4 linked regions of the Arabidopsis thaliana genome follow. The protein of the gene in region 4 interacts with the protein of the main gene of each other region in a pairwise test. Each region holds a gene or a part of one and is shown on either strand. Other genes may lie near its edges. The genes, in order: AT4G17810, MYB86, BMY2 and AT2G21530.

Evidence for each region.
Region 1: the proteins of AT2G21530 (region 4) and AT4G17810 interact in a two-hybrid assay, tested with the Arabidopsis thaliana proteins (one large-scale study listed by BioGRID).
Region 2: the proteins of AT2G21530 (region 4) and MYB86 interact in a two-hybrid assay, tested with the Arabidopsis thaliana proteins (one large-scale study listed by BioGRID).
Region 3: the proteins of AT2G21530 (region 4) and BMY2 interact in a two-hybrid assay, tested with the Arabidopsis thaliana proteins (one large-scale study listed by BioGRID).

Annotation. Positions count from the first base shown.
Region 1 is NC_003075.7:9,904,817-9,908,546, reverse strand, and holds AT4G17810 (C2H2 and C2HC zinc fingers superfamily protein), read right to left. Parts: upstream 1,727-3,730; 5' UTR 1,630-1,726; coding exon 1,015-1,629; 3' UTR 520-1,014; downstream 1-519.
Region 2 is NC_003076.8:9,331,051-9,335,137, forward strand, and holds MYB86 (myb domain protein 86), read right to left. Parts: upstream 2,235-4,087; 5' UTR 1,995-2,234; coding exon 1,862-1,994; exon of another isoform or gene 1,798-1,861; coding exon of another isoform or gene 1,758-1,797; coding exon 1,628-1,757; intron 1,521-1,627; coding exon 725-1,520; 3' UTR 515-724; downstream 1-514. UniProt on the Arabidopsis thaliana protein: Probable transcription factor.
Region 3 is NC_003076.8:18,351,898-18,357,416, reverse strand, and holds BMY2 (beta-amylase 2), read right to left. Parts: upstream 3,893-5,519; 5' UTR 3,824-3,892; coding exon 3,305-3,823; intron 3,132-3,304; coding exon 2,904-3,131; intron 2,820-2,903; coding exon 2,739-2,819; intron 2,596-2,738; coding exon 2,392-2,595; intron 2,269-2,391; coding exon 2,074-2,268; intron 1,953-2,073; coding exon 1,788-1,952; intron 1,699-1,787; coding exon 1,438-1,698; intron 1,357-1,437; coding exon 1,144-1,356; intron 1,056-1,143; coding exon 836-1,055; intron 747-835; coding exon 721-746; 3' UTR 529-720; downstream 1-528. Other genes in the region: AT5G45290 (RING/U-box superfamily protein), read left to right, coding at 5,325-5,519.
Region 4 is NC_003071.7:9,217,336-9,221,135, reverse strand, and holds AT2G21530 (SMAD/FHA domain-containing protein), read right to left. Parts: upstream 1,885-3,800; 5' UTR 1,765-1,884; coding exon 1,488-1,764; intron 1,393-1,487; coding exon 1,328-1,392; intron 1,243-1,327; coding exon 1,182-1,242; intron 990-1,181; coding exon 843-989; intron 752-842; coding exon 672-751; 3' UTR 528-671; downstream 1-527. Other genes in the region: SFH3 (SEC14-like 3), read left to right, coding at 119-190, 291-305; AT2G21520 (Sec14p-like phosphatidylinositol transfer family protein), read right to left, coding at 2,183-2,706, 2,908-3,037, 3,108-3,221, 3,310-3,408, 3,499-3,598, 3,699-3,748.

The sequences.
Region 1 (3,730 bases), on a different chromosome or scaffold from region 4:
TATTTGTGAAATGCATAAACTTACAAGAACTTATTCAATCAAGTTTTTGAATTGATCTCTTAGCTAAAGTCGGGGATAAGACCAGGATTAATTCAAGTTTCTCCCCTACATCGTGATAAAAAAGGCATTAAATATCAGATATATTAGAGAACTTTAGTTAGAAAAAGAAAAACCAGATTCTCTGTCACGAATGATACTTCTGAGTCGCCTGAGCATTAGAAAACTAATTATGACAAGATATCCATAAATCGTTCAAAAAAGATATATAGTTAAATATTTAATCAGAAACTAAATCAAAATAATGCATGTACAAACTACTTAACATGACATGGAGTAATAGAAGTATAAAACGAATGGAATAAATTAAAACTCAGTTCAACGCATATCTCTTCATCATTCCAATACTCCAAAACCCTAAAGCATATGGAAATAGTAAGAACAAATTTGCCTTCTACGAAATATGTAAAAAAATATTGGCTTCTTATCTTCTGTTGAGGAATGGTTTTTTTTTTTTTTTTTAAATGTGTAGACGCTTTTAATAATTTGAAAGTTTTGAGCATTTGAAACAAACTACTGATAATGTTCGTTAATTGTAAATTTTCTCCATCAAACGGAAATTTGAATTCAAAGAGCCTTGTTACTTTTCAAGAAAATCATTACTAAACCAAGTAATGATAAAGACAGAATATATAAAAAGCAATAGTAATCAATACATATATGGGTTCTATGGGATTTCTGAGATGAAATTTAATATAAGTATATACAAATCATATAATGCAGGGTTCATTGTATATATTTCGATCTAACCAATCAAATTAAGTAAACATATACTTGTAAACTTACGCTCTGAAATCAAGGAACCAAAGCATGAAATCGAATGAATTTAATTGTGATACACAATTCAAGCCAAATTGAATTCAGAATTTAACAACAACATGTAAATTAAGATTTAAAGAACCTGTGTATGAATAGATATTAATGTGAAAGCCTCGAGTGGGTCATGAAAATGAAATGTCACGGTGGATGGTGCCCTAGCCGAAGTTCAAGATCAAGCTCATCCACTGATGTTCCTGTCGCTTCTTTCATCGAGCCAATGCTCTCATCATCTCCTGTCGAATATTCAATAAGCCGAGGAGGAACTTCTACTGGAGAATTCAACATTGAAAACGGAAGGTTGCTCGGAGGAAACGAAGTCGTACCATAAAGATTCACCATGTCACCAGAATTACCAAAAATGCCACTAGGGTTTTGCAGTTGGTAGAAATGGGACAAACCTTCAATGTTACTCGCCGTGGATTGTATTATAAGTGTCGTTGTAGGCAACGGCGGAGCACAAGAATTGAGTAACATCCCCCCGTGGCCGCTTCTAGCCGCAGCCGCAACGGTGGAACCTTGATGAGCCCTAGATGAGGCGCGGTCACGGCGGTGGACATTCATGTGACCGCCTAAGGCTTGAGCAGAACGGAACTCACGGCGGCAGAAATTGCAAGTGTAAGATCTTGGAGGCCAAGTGGTACCAGAGATGTTGCCTTTAGTGTCTTGCTCAAAGGCTTTGACTTCCCAAGATTCATCATCATCCTCCAATTCTTCAATTTTGTTAGGGTTCCACATCCATGCACCACCGTTCATTCAAGGATGAGTTTTTTTTGAAAAAAAAAGAGAAATCTCAGTAGAAGATGAAGAATAAGAAGAAGATGGGGTTGGTGGATAATGATGTAAATTCAATAATAAATATAAAGATGGACCCGAAATATATACATAGATAGGTCACTTATCTTCAAAATATCATTTTCAGTAAATGAAAGAAATTTTACCATAATAAATTTTACTGAGTGTAAGAGCACACACATTTTGATTATCACATGTATAATTCAAAATTTGCAAATATAATATACTTTCTTTCTATTAAATCCAGTGCAAACATATTTTAGTAACTTATATATGTTAGAAAAGTAAAAATGAAATCTCATTTTCTATTAATTACTTACATATATTTAGCTACTTTCAGAAATTTACATAAACTTTACGTCTTTATAGAACTCTACACTTTTAGGTGTGTTCTTCTATCTTCGTTGGTACTTTGTTACAAAAAGACATTAAATCATAGATTGCTATGCATTTAATTAATATAGGAAGCCCAATTATAAATAAAAAAATAGTGTGCATTTTATATAAATAGGTGAAGATTTACAGAGGAAAAAGTTGGTTGTGACTTTGATGTCCTATGTAAGGTTAAGACAAAGTTTGTTTGCTTTAAATGGTGAAGCAAAGATCTTAGCTTTGCGTGATCATTACTAAGATTCTCTTGTTAGAATCTGACAAATGACTAGAGTAGCTTTACACTGTGACATTATGACCATATATTTTAGATAATCATCCTACATATGGCTACAATTCGAGATATACATACATTACAAAACTATATATATGTATATAGACACACATGTATGGTGTATGAACTCATATTATATATATTATTTTCTATGTAGAAAAAGATATTATTTTTTTTTCTTATGCCAAATGAAAATTTTATTACAATTTGAAATCTAGGAATATTAAACAATACAAATTTTGGGAAAAAAATGAAAAACAGAAGAGCTGAAAGTGATGGGCCTTGATATCCGAAAGATATTTGCCATGTAAAGTTACATTAACAGTGGTTTCGTTGGGAACTTAGTTAGATTTCAACTAGATCGCTCTTTCGTTGGACCATGTGGATTGCATTTGTTTTGTCATGTTTTTCAAATAAATAAAAACATAAAAAGGGACTTAATTTTCCTTGGAAAATAGTCAAATTACAGTACAATGATAAATCTCAGCCCAAATAAAGGTCATTATGGATCCTTGCGTTTGCTTTCAATGGGCCGTTGGACAAGTACGTAATTTAGGCCTTTTAACGCTCTTTTTATTTTATTTTTGTTTAAAATGCGAAAAAAACTTCATCATGATCAGTGATAAAATATGTTTGTTTATAGGAACACTATATGATTTTAATCCAAAATTAATTGACAATGAGTGTACAAATTTAAGTGCTAATTAAAATTGGGTTAAAAGTTTCAATAATTCCAGTCATTTTAATATCATAAGTTAATTATAAGCATATATAATTTTTCGAGTTTATCCATCACAAACATTAGACGAACGATGTTGAAAAAAGCTTAACCCGATAATATGCATCTCCGAGTTAAACATATATACCAATGTTGGTACTTGTATATCTCATTGGGTCAAAACGTTTGTATGTATATAACTATATTATTGTATTGAAGTTGAGAATAAAGGAAAGATAGATTAAGGGAGAAGCAAACAATGACGTTTTGCCAGCGAAGCTTTTTGGGAGCAAAGAGAATCCTTTTGCAGCTATCAAACGACCGCTTCTCCCGGACGACGACCTTTGGCCGCCCATCACATCTTTCTCTATATTTATCTATTTAACAGATACTTGATGAAAAGAAAAAATCCTGATCATATGTAATATAAGATTTTCTTTTGTCAACATTTACTATATAAGATTTTGATTTGAAATAAATTTATAGACGCATTGTTTTCTTGACTGTAAAACTAACATGATGATTTCATGTTTCAGAAAATAATATAGACTAAGTCTTGTGTGATTCGGTTCATTATTGTATTTCATGTCTCCAAGCTATTGGCTATTGTTTATTCACTAATTAATACGTGCTTTGTCATATTGCTTTCCGTGAAACAAAATATTGGTTAATTAAGACCT
Region 2 (4,087 bases), on a different chromosome or scaffold from region 4:
AATAATCATAAAAACATGATCTTCCATGCATATTTAATATAAACTTTATAACTTAATAGTTTTTTAAGATCTATAAATTTCATGGTTTGAACAAAATTCATAATCTAAACTAGTGAATATAATTTCTTTTATATAATTTCTAATTTTTAAAATATTCATATCCTTTTGATATACTAACACGGCCTGTATACTTGTAATTCAAAAGAAAAAAAAATAGTATCATGGAATATTATATTTGAGACCCACTGCATTTGTTTTTAATACAAAAAAGATTATGGGTCTTTCGGTTAATTGTTCACGCATGCATCTCTCTTTGTCCGGAATCACTTTTCCGAAGAAGTCTCCACTCCAACTTAAGATCTATTAACCTCTCCTTAAAACAAAAAGACCATCCACCACGACCGAGACATGTTTTACTTTACTTTATCTTCTTGTTTTTAATATTATGATCAGTGATATAACTTTTCCTAAGTAAAACTAAATATAGATGTAAGTAAAAATATAAATGTATGAAACTCAATTCAGGTCAAAGTCATAAGTAAGGAAATGGAATAAAGAACTACATCTTAGCACCAAAAAAATTCACTCGAGCAGAAAATTTACATAAATCAAAAACCATATACATACTTTACACACAAGCATAACAAATGTATGGATCAATCAATAAACTCAGGTCTATGAATATGAATAGAAAATGAAACTCTCTATAACACATGTTAATAATCTAAAGGCTCTGATCAAACACCATGTTATTAAGCTTTTGTAGATTTTTACCGTACACTTCCACGTTAGCATCGTGTAGTAATGTTGCAGCTTCTTGGTTTGGTGACGACGATGATGATGCTGATCTCCAGTAGTAGTTGGCAATGTCTGGCTTCACTTCTGCTTCTATAACAGTTTCTGAGCTTTGGTTGTGTTCTGTGTAATGAAGAATCTCTGATGCCCATGACTTCATGTCTTGATGATGATGATGTTGATCTACTAGTGGATTATTATTGTTCATGGTTTGGCTAGCTTCTGTGTATTGATTACCAAAGAAGGCACTGTAGATACTGTTGCTCTGACTTGGTACTGTGTTGCAGTAGTTGAGTTGTTCCCAGTTGTTTGGAGCAGGACTGAAGTTTGAAGTCATTGGTGTCGGAGATGATGACGTAGACATTGAAGAGATTAAAGATACGATCTGGTCTGAAACCGTTGTAGTATTACTTGAACTAAAGCAAAACGCAGAGTTTTGATTAGTCGTAGTTGTATTCGCCGGGAACCACCATGGACCTTGTTGCGATGAGACGACCATTGACTGATCATGTAGGTTGTTTATCGAACCCGTTGACTTTACTACTTCTGATGACGTCAGTTTCTGATCTATGACGTTAAGAGATTGAAGCTCGTTTGTTATTAAGGGTTTATGTGTTGTTGGGTCAATGCCTTTTCTTCTCAGCTTCTTCTTAAGACATGAGTTCCAAAAGTTTTTGATCTCGTTGTCTGTTCTTCCCGGTAACCGCGTTGCGATTTGAGACCATCTACATATTCAATATGAACCAAAGATTTTTTTTTTAACATATATATATATATACACAATATACATTATAAATTCAAAACTATATAAATGTGTTGCAAATTAATGAACCTGTTGCCTAATGCAGCATGGAGCTCAATGATCAAGCTTTCTTCGTCTTGAGAGAAAGCTCCTCTCTTTAAATCTGGTCTCAAATAATTTATCCACCTAAGTCTACAACTCTTTCCACATCTTTGCAAACCTATTTGATCATATATATCCACCAACGCATATAAAAACATTATAAACGATGCTATATAAACCTCTTTAAGCTATATATAATATAAGAGCACATAGAGACCAAACCTGCGAGTTTAGGGACAGAACTCCAACAGCCATGACCATGTCTAGTGATGTAATTGAGAAGTTTCTCATCTTCTTCAGGAGACCAAAGGCCTTTTCTTAGCTTCTGCTTAAAACAACAAGAATGTCTTCCCATTTTTTATAAAAGTAATGAAGAAAGTATAGATTGTTGCAGAGAGAGTTTTATGGTTCTTGGAGGTTCTATAAGCTTGAAGAGGAAGGAAGAAGATGGAGAAAATTATTATAAAATGAGAGAAACTATGATTGGCGATATTCTGGTGTAAACACTTTTGTTTTATAATCGTTGGGTGAATTAATTGATACCTTTTATGGGACCACCTTATTCAGAAAACTCAAGAGATGAACTCAAACATAGTAAATAACTATTTGATTCCTTTACAAAATAGAAAGAAATGGTGGTTAAGACTTTAGAGGTAACACTTGTAAACTTTTTTTTTTCTTTTTTTTTTCTCGAACGATAGATAGAAAAATGTGACATATACTGACAGAAAAGTAGTCAACTTTTAAGAAATTTATCTACAATGAAAAAGAAGAAGAATCATTATCGTAGACTTGTAATCTGAATTTATTTTCAATTATTTTTAAAAAAGTATAAAATAGTATGGTTATTAAAATCAACAAATAACAGAAACATGATGGTTAACATAAAAAAAGAAAAGAGGAAACTTAATTCACGGACAATATATTCTAGTCGAATTATTTGCTACGTTTTGGAAAGTATATGATTAGTGAATTATACATCGAGTATAAATATTACTAGTTTCCTAATTAGTAATAAAAAAGTGGAAAGAAAAATAAAGGGAAGCCATCGGTCAACAACAAACTCATTTCCATGAAAGCATTGTACGAGTCTAAAATTATTGTCCCCCCAAAAATGTCTACGGAATTTTAATACTTTTTTGTTCGTAAACGAAATTAATATTTATAGTACTTTTTCGTTTTATTTTTCCTACTTTTTTGATCTCAAAGGAGACACCTTGATGTGCTGAGAATGTAAAGAGTTCTTCAATTCAAGTACGCAAAGTAATGGTGGAAAAATAGCCTTAAATGTTTCCACTATGCAATAATTTGGTCGCGTAACCACTAATATTCTTATTTATATACACACTAATGTTACTAGTTACCGACTTGTAACGGGTAATCTTTCATTAATCTTACATCGATGAGGCTAGTCTAACGTGAAACAAAACAAAAACAAAGATAATTTTGATTAATTTCGAGCATGCTTCTACACGAGAACAACAATAAGTGTTTAGAAACGTATATTATGATAGGAGATGCGTTCTCATTATTATCGTATTATAGGAAAGAGAGTTTCCTTTTTAAAAATACAATCATGATGATTAGTTTTTTTTTGTTATTTGAAATTTCATGATGATTAGTTTACAACAAAGCTATTTTATTTATATAAAGCTACTAGCTTAAGTCGAGTCTTAAGAAATCATACAAACAATAGCATAATTGAAGAATATCATTACAACGGAAAAAACACTCAATCCCTTGTATATACAACTGGCTTGTCTCCTTTGACATATTTGTTGTAAGAGGAAAAAATCTCATAGATCATCACCTCAATTTTAATAATAGCGTCAGCTGCGTCACGAATGATATATTATATTTTCAATTAAAATGGGATTTTGTCTTATGCATATCATTTTTTACATGTTTAAACAATTTTTGTATAACATATAGTATATATTTGTTTTGGTATTTTGCATTTACACTACCCAAATGTCGTTGTATCCTGAAAATATAATTAGTATATTTTTTAAATACAAAACCATTTCATCAAAATTATTAGGACGAGTAGAGGAAGAAAGAAAAATTATAATATACATATATTACGTATATATATATGCAGTAAAGAACTTATAAGAAACTAAATGCAGTGGATAAAATCGAATTAGCCGTCGATAAAAAAAACTGTAATGAGAAAGTCATCCAGTTATATTTTTATAACATGCAATCAATTAGCCGATGCCAACCTCTTAATTCTGTCATTTTCAAGTTTTATAAAATCATCTTTGCGTAGTCGAAAGTGGACTAAAATTGGTTGTAAAAACTAAAAAGTATATATTGGCATAAGTTAAATGTTTTTATGTGCATAGAAAATTATATAGTCACGGTGATGTTTTTGTATAGTTTGTAATGGGAAATACAAAAGAATTCGCCGCCTTTCAAATGATTGAGCATTTAAAATTTTCAAGT
Region 3 (5,519 bases), on a different chromosome or scaffold from region 4:
ATCACACACCACCTAAGACTTTTTTTCCATCTTTTTCATTAATCATATTGGACATTTTGCCTCATTATCCCACATTTAGATATGTATAATAGAGGCTTTGTTCGTTGTGGTTAACTAACCCTATTTCTTATGCTTCTTTAGATACAAAATCAAATTTTCGTACGGACCAACATTATATTGTCCATGAATTAACACTGAATGCAAAAGGACATGTTGGTCTTTTTTTCCCCTCTTTATTTGTTCTTCAAAGATTTGGTTGGATCTAAAATGTCAAATACAATCATGAAAAATCAGGATTTTATCAGAATATTATTTGAATGATACAAAAGAAAAATGTAACTTTGAACAAAAATTATTAATACCATTAATGTAATCGGATTCGGGCATATATAGTCAAAAAGGTTATTCTAAGAATAATTTAGACAAAAAGGTATAAGAGTTAGGCAACACTTTTCGGTTGTATTCATTAGACATCAATACCTTCTTGTATTTTTCAAAATAAAACTAAACAAGTGTCTACTTTACGCGAGTCGGATTAGAATGCATTTAAGAATTTAATTAGTTAGTTCATCTTCAACTAGTGAAGTGTTAAGGTGTTTAAAGATTACAAGATCAATCGTCTTAAATATAGGCCTTGAGGAGAGAATAAACAAAACAAAACAGATTTTGAAGTTTTAAACAAAAGACACTTACTAAAAGAATCCTAAGACCATGCAAATCCTAAAACTGTTTATCTCTTATGTCGCCTGCAAAGAAACAAATATAGTTGTAAGAACAAAGATTTTGACAACGAATCTAAAGGGAAGGCACAATCAAGCGTGCGGGTAAATCTTACCATGCATGCGTTTAATGAAGTAGTCCAAATCTGGAAAGCAAGTAGATCCTTGAACCAGAGGAGAAGGTTGACGATATGTGAAGAAGGAGAAGTGATAGCCATCTGGATGGTTTCTTGGTTTAGCTATATCGATTAATCTCATACAACCATCTCTGTCGAAACAAGTAATCGCATTCTCTCCACCGATTTGAAGTCCCTTATCCCAAGCTGCGTTGATCACCTGCCACAAATAACCAAAACTTTAGGGTTAAGATTACATTTGCTGAGAAGTAAAAAAAGCTATAGTCATCAATAAAAAGTGTCATTACCTGCCAACTTAAACCTTCTGGATCAGCTAATGCTTCTTCATGCGCATTGGGAGACATTTGTGGCCCAGGGCACACAAACTTCACAGTCACGGAATATTTCTTCAGAGTTTCGAAAACAAGAGAGTACCCATCACGGTTTGAAGGGTTGTAGTATCCTGCAGTTAATTCAGCAGCATGACTAGCTGTCTTGTATGACCAGTATATTGCCGGTATCTGCATTGTTGTTTTTGGTGTATGAGTCTCATTGTTATAGGCATCACTGGGTTTGAAGGATAAGTGCCAAAAGGATTATACCTTGACAATAATCTTCGTCTCCTCAAATGCGAGATTTGCAAGAGACAGAACATTCTCAGCATGACCAATTAGCAATTGTGAGTACCAATTTAAGAAGAAGCGGCCATAATAGCTGTCATATTCACCTCTTTCTTGGAAGAACACAGTTTCATGTGGATGAGAACTGTATTGACCAGCATTCTCTGGTCCTTTACCCCAGAAAGTGAATCCTCGTGACTTTGCTTCCTTTTGCAGACTCAATTGCGAATATTTGTCATAACACTGCAATAGGAAAAATAGTAAATTGATATGTTAACTTCACTAGTCATAAGTTAGAACGTAGAAGTAAAGTTCAGCAATCTGAAAAATACCTGAAACTCACCGATACCGGGATAAATCCAACCCATCCTTTCTGGGAAAGATGGGTACTTTAGTTCACCAGAAGCTCCAAGACCAATCTCAACCGCAGTAATTAGTCCTTCCACAAACAAGTCATCAAACTCTGACCGGAAGCTTCTCATAAAATCAAAATAGACCTGGATAATCAAGTGTTGAAAAGGAAGAAATAAGAATCTAGACAGTACAAAAGAGGAGGAAATGAGACATAATATACCAAAATACTGAACAATTTCTGAGCAATGAGTGTTCTTTGAGTACCTCTATACCAGTTCGTCCATGCAATACCCGTTCCTTGTCAATGCTCCAATTCAAACACTCGAAACTTCTTCTTCCTTCACGATCAGTGAAAAAAATGTCTGGATTGTCTTTCCCAATCTTCAACACCCACTGTGGCAACGAAATCATCACATTCCCAGATGCATTCCCTCCATACTCATGAAATGCCATCACCACCTTCAAACAAACCATATACTGATTGCTAAGATATTATGAAAAAGACGGTCCTTTATAGGGAAAGTCACAGTTTGGTCACATAGGATGTATTTAACAAAGCTCTACAAGTAAAAATATTCACACCTGTAGCTTAAGTTTGAAGTCTCTGATAAGGTTAAAGAGCTCCCTATAGCCAGACCATACATATTTCTGAGGGTTCCATCCTTCAACTATTCCCCACCAACAATCTATTACTACTCCATCGACATTTAATGACTTCATGTAACTTAATTCTTGTCTTACACCTTCAGGATCAACCAACTGGCCAAAGTTGTCTATAATGCCAACCTGAAAGACAAGGTACAGAACTTTAGCACAGGAAAACTAAGGATCGCGGCAAAACTGGTAAGAAATATATGTACACTCTTTTTTATTGGGCAACATCCATATATATACACTTAAAACACAAAGTTCTCTCATCAGAAGCTCACTGGAAGCATGGCGTACACAGGGACATAAAAGCTCTCTGTGAAGTCATTACATTGCTCTGCGGAATGAACATCTTGTATAAGCTGAAAGAAAAACAAAGTGGTTAGATGAAACAACGTCCAGCTTAAAGTCAATTCTCCTAATAAGGAAATGAATTTATCATTCACCTGATTGGCTTCCAAGCATCCAACGGAGGTGATAGGACTAACACTAGTATACCTTCCATTCCCGGGATGATCACTCTCGGCAATACCAATAGAATCAAGAGACACAGGAGCAAGTTTCTCATCGTTCCTAAGAACTGAATGCTGCTGAGATTCAATTGCAGCCTTAGCACAGTTCTTCAATGTACTAGAAGAAAGTGGACTCTCAATAGATCTCGTCGGAAACTGTACCTAATCCAATAATATTAAACAATCTATGTTACATTAATAACAGAACAAAGCTTATAACTTTAAGAGCTTCACACATATTTGGGATCAAATTTATCATCTTTCCACTAAACCCTAACTTAAATAGCTTAATATGAAAGTTTGAATTTTGAGAGAGAGAGTTTCGAAGTTTGAACCACATGATTTGGTTGCTGTGATTGCCGATAAGTAGTACCATCGGCTTCAACACTCCAACCAGCTTCACGAGCCAAAGCAGCGATTACGTCATTCATATCAGCACGCGCCGGTAACGGAAAATTACCGTACTGTCTTAATCCGGCGAGCATTCTACTAGTGATTGCTCGTCTATGTCTTTCTCTAAGCTTCGTTCTCTCTTTTTCCTTCTCCCTCTCTCTCTTCCCTTTCCCTCCTCCACCTCCTCCGCCGCCGCTGCTTCCTTCTCCACCGCCGATTCCGGCGATGTTTCCGTTGTTTACATCGTTTTCCGTTGGAGCTATCGACGCTGCTGCTGCTGCAGCGGCGAATCCGCGAGGGCGGCGAGATTGTGGTTGGTTGCGGTTCCGGTTGGGAAATTGATCCGGGTCTGGAATTGGGTCGAGATTCGGATCTTGCGAACCGGTGGTGGTGGTGATGGTGTTGTTGAGAGTATGCATTTTTGTGCGGTGAAGTTGCTCGCTTCTGTGCTGTTCCCACATTTGAGATTTTTTTGTAACTTTATGGATTTACAAATCAACGTCGGTAATTATTATAAATTACGTTAAAAGTCTCTCATTATCAAAATCGTCAATATTAACCCCTCCTTTTTTTTTTTTTTTTTTGGTCAAAAACCTCTCTTTTTTTTTTGTTCAACAATAGCCAATGTGACCAGTTTTGACAAAGTGATACTGAATTACTGATGGGTTTGTTAGGAATGACACGATGGGTTTTACGGTTTTGTTTCCAATCCTTTTTTTCATGGTTTTATTAGTTTAGAAAAGAAAAACTGAATAACATAAATACATAATTTGTCTTTTGATTTGATTTTGGTTTAGTAAATCAAACCAAAATCATGTTAAAATTAGTTTACATATTTTGACTCAGGTTTTTATTTTAGGTAGGTTTTAGTAAAATTAACATTATAATTATAAATAAAATGTTAATGAATTTCCGTTTATTTGATTCGATTTTATCATGTTAAAATTAGTTTTTGTTTGGTCTTTAAATCGACTTTACAGGGCCGGTCCAACAAAAATCTTCTGAAGCTAGAATGCCACTATATCTAAATTGTAAAATACTGAAAACAATCACTTCATAAAAAAAAATGATTTGTATATTTTAGTTTATTGTGATTTACTTTTTTCAACTCATTTTTTTTTTCTATTTTTAATATATCTTTTTTCTTTCTTTCTTTGAAGTTAGTGTAGTTCAATTATATTTTAATTTTTGAGAATATAGATTCGATTTTGGTTCGATTTTGGTTCGATTTTGTATTTCTGCTTCGCAATTTATAAAACCAAAAGGCTTTGTCAACAAAATTTCAGTTTTGAGTATAGTTTGAATATTCTAGTTTGGTTTGGTTACAACTATTTTTCATCTAAGTGATCACTGTTCAATGACCATTTCAAAGCTTTTTTCTCAATTATAGTCCTCAATGAAGTCCAATTATGATTGCAAAAAAGATTAAAAAATCGAACGAAAACAAAAGAATGTTATAATAGTTTGAAAAAGAAAAGAAAGAAAAATAAAGAAATGGTGAGTTTGGTTTTTTGTTCCCTCTCGTTCGAACATCAAGACACACTCTTCCCGTAAAAGTCTCTCTCTCTATCGCAGATAGGTGCTTTGTCTCCTTCTTCGATTACTCCGATCACCTAAAAATCTTTCCTTTTCTTCAAAGCATTTCTCTTTGATTCAAAGACAACACACATAGCTTAGTTCCTACATTAATTTCTCGCAATAAAAAAAGTTCAGATTTCGAGGTATTCTTGCAATCTCGATCGAGTTTCAGATCTGGGGATTCAATAATTAGGGCTTTTGATTCTGCATTGTCAATGACGAATTCGGGTTTCAATGTAAAGATCTGAGGAAAAAGTTTCGATCTTTAGATTTTGACTTGGAGGTTTCTTCGATTGGTGGATTTGAAGAAGATGGGGAAAAGACTTGTGGGTCTTGTGTCAATGATGTAATTTTAGCAGAAAGTTGTTTGCTTTTGAGAAGAAGATGGGATCTGGCCGGAGCAAATCATGTCTAGGCTCGTCGGCGATGGCGAGAGAAGCTTCTGACGTGGCTCAACCTCCTCCGTCGTCTTCTAGTGGTGGTGGAAGGAGAAGAAGATCAAAGAGTCTTTTTTGTGGTCTTCACTCTTCTTGTCTTGCTTCATCTTCTACTTCTCATTACAGTGATGATGATAATGAT
Region 4 (3,800 bases):
AATTTAGACTATTTTGTTCATTTATAAAAGTTAAAAGCTATTTTAATTCTTTTGATCTAAAATTTAGACCATTTTCATAATCCTGTTATAAATCAATTTTATTTTGTTGAAAATTCAGACGCTGGAGGAAACCATGGCAACGCAGCATGTGATAATGGCTTATATCGACAAGAAGAAAAAGAAGAAGAAGGTAACAACAAACTAACACATTTTAAAACACTCTTTTTCAAGATTTATTCGTACTTGATTTTGTTTACGTATTTATATGTTTTTTTTGTTTTTGTTTTCAGTTCTTTGGATTCTGAAAGACTTGATAATGCCTCAAGACTTTGAAGAAACCTGGAAAAATATATATAAATCCATATTTATTATATATATAAACATAAATATTATTCGTGAAGAGTTTTTACAGATAAAAATGTGGGAAATTTTCTTTCTGTAAATGTTTTGTTGTTTGTCCCTCTGGAAATATCTGAAAGCTTATGTTTACCACTTATCAATTCTTTCACACCTAATTTGTAACGTACCAAAAACAAAAATATATATGTTATAATATTATATAAAAAGCTATTGTTCATATATATATAAATCAACAATGTTGTAAAACAACTTAGAATTTCAACAAAAACCGGTTAATTGCAAGCAAAGATAAGCAATTCTCGGGTTTTGTGTTACTCTGTAGTTGGTTTCTCTATGGATTCTTCACTATCTTGGAGCTTGAAAACACGGAAAATTGCTAGATTTGTATCTCCTGCAAGTCACACAAAGAGTTTAACCTCATTGATCGGTCCATCACATTCACAGAGAGAGAGATGGAAAATCATGCGAAAAGATTGGTGTACCAAAGGTGATTCGTGTTCCGGGAAAGGCAGGAGCAGCAACACCAGGAATTAGACGTTTGTCTTCGATGAATGTACCGTTGGTGCTGTTCATATCCGTCACAAGAAGGTTCTTTTCATTCGTATTGATTGTCGCATGGACTCCTGACACTGAGGTTAAAAGACTAGGAGTGTTGGATTCTGATCCAAACTAAAGCAATAAACCATCTACAATCGAAAATCTAGTACCGAATCCGAACCTAAACCCGAAACCAAAACTATATCAAATTGATTCATATTAAAACCAAATTCACTTTGATTACAAATTCAAGAAAACCGAAAACCACAAGAACAGAGAAATACCGGTGGCAACAGGAATCACGACGTCAGCCTTTTCCGGTAGCCGTCCGATGGTAACTTGGCCCTGCTCAATACCCATTTTTGTGATCTTAGCAAAAACTAAAAACTCATCAAAATCAATCAATCTAGTGGAATGTATAGTTTCTTACAGAGGAGATCTCAAAAGGAGCAGGCATTGCCACTTTGTAACCAATGTGTCTTGTGTCTCCATCGCCTATAAGTTTTCAGGCAAAAAGACTTTCAAGACTCAAAAAGATTAAAGAAGCTCATTGATATTAAACCTAGAGAAACAAAAAAATAGCCTCTGACCAACTGGTTTGAGAAGCCACCGTTCTCCTCCGGAAGTTGGGGATTGATTCTCATCCAAGGAGGCGCGTGTTGTTCTCACCACCGGTGCATGACTTCTTGGTTTCTTCGCAATGAAGCTAATATTACTGATCTGCTCATTCTCTCTCAAGCAGTTTACTGAAACAGCTCCATTTAGGTTGTTTCTATTACTGTTTCCATAGAAACAGAAAAGTGATGATGATGATGATGATGATGAAAACTTAACTCGAGAGCACAATTGGGATATTGTTATCTCCATTTTCTCTTCATAAAAACTGATTGATCTTACAAAAACAAAATATGAAGTAAAGAAAAATGCAAAAACTTTTGAGATACGTTAAGAGATAATCACTATATGGGATATGTGGCTACAATATCTTGTATCTGGATAAAAACAAAATCCTAAAAAAAAACAGAATCCTGATTAATAATTTCGATACTCTTTTTTCGTTTTGCATTAACAAGTTTACAGTTACAGATTTTTTTATGATTATAAAAATAAAACATATAATATAAAGTGGCTCATAATCACAGAAGGAAACAGAGCTCTCTGTATTAGCTTTAACATCAAATCAGATATAAGAGTTTTTGTTTTGTTTTGTTGTTTATACTTAAGAACAGCGAATTACGAAAGAGGGAGATTTTGATGCCTGGTGCTGGTTTTTCTTGGCTTTGCTTCAGAAGCAAAAGAGATGTTTCTTCTTCTTCTTCTTCATCTTCTGGAACTGAGCTTCTTCTTGACGATCAATGTAAGCAAGTAACTCTTCCTGTCTCATCAAAGCTTCGTAAAGGGCCTTTTTAGTAGCTATGAGCTCTGCTTCAAGTGCGTCTACTCTGCAGACGGCTGCGTTTAACAGTTCTTCTTTCTCGTATGGCATCTCATTTGGCTTTGATTGGAGCGTTCCGATTTTACCTTCCAGCTCTGTCAGTTTCTTCGTCACACAGTTTAGTAGATCAGTTTCCGTGAGGTCTGGTACAGGAGAAGGAGGACGACACTCCTCTTTAACTCCTTCACCGTTAGAACCAAGTTCTATTGCGTTTCCTTGGGTTTCTGCTGGGGAAGAAGTAGTAGTCGCTGGAAGTTTCTTTGTTACAGTGCGGAAGAATGTGAAAACCGCCATCAAGAATGCCATGAACATTACTAGGACTCGAGCCTTGATGCCTTCATGATCTTTTGGAACGGTGGGAGACATTAAAGCTCCTGAAGGAAACAGATAAGAGTTAAGATCACCAAACAAAGAAAGACCAAAAAAACTCTGTTTTTATAACCAACTCCAAAACAATCCTAATAAGAAAATAAATCCTATGTAAACAAGGATTAGGTTAAATTCTTTTCCTTCAGTATTTGGTTCTAAACCGGAGCCTACTGGTACGTAAAGCATATAGCAGCTAACTAACTAACCTCTTGAGGCAACTCTCTGGATGGCGGGTTTCACCTTCCAGGTGGCGTCAACGGCTTTGTCCACCATAGGTACATACTCGTCATAACCCGGAAAACTACCAGCCAAGCTTGTTTCACCAGCTATCTTTGCCTGCAAAGCCTCAGGATAAACATCTACTACTTCCCCAACTAGAAGATAGAAAGAAAGAGAAAAAAGTTACCTCCTCACGAACAGGTGTCAAGCGGAGATGAGAGAAACTCTTTATAGCCTTCGGAGAACCGATATCTTCAGCGTCAGATCCTGACTCTGCAGTGGATGTGTCACTTCCCTTTATCTATGTTTATGACAGAGCAGAGTTTAGGCACAATATGGTCAGCCACAAGTTAAAGATTGACTAGTTATAGGATTTAATAACTACGTACCCATGTATATGAAGGTTTTGCATAAGCAATGACTTTCCCTTCGCTGTTCAACACTTTCACCACCTGCCTCGCTCGATGTGCTCCTCCATGAAGCACCATCTGAAATAATGAGAAGAAAACCAAATGTCTCAGATTCCAACTTGGATGATACAAATAGAATCCAAAAAGAGATTAGTCTAAGTAAATGACCTTCACAATTTCCGGGTTTTTCCAAGGTCCCTTGTCAGAAAGCATGCAACCGCCTTGATCTGCGCAAGTACATGCACCTCCCAAGAACTCAGGCAACTCGCTATAAAAAAGTGCAGACCATTTTGAACATAAGCAAAAACAAAAAAACGTGCAGCTTTCGATAGAACAGATCAAATAAGGGTGGGTCAAGGTTCACATACTTGACATCAATGACTTCAAGCAATTTGCTTAGATACTTGTATCCGAGTACCTACATAAACAATAGAATAGTCCATATTGAATTCTATATAATCAAAGACAAG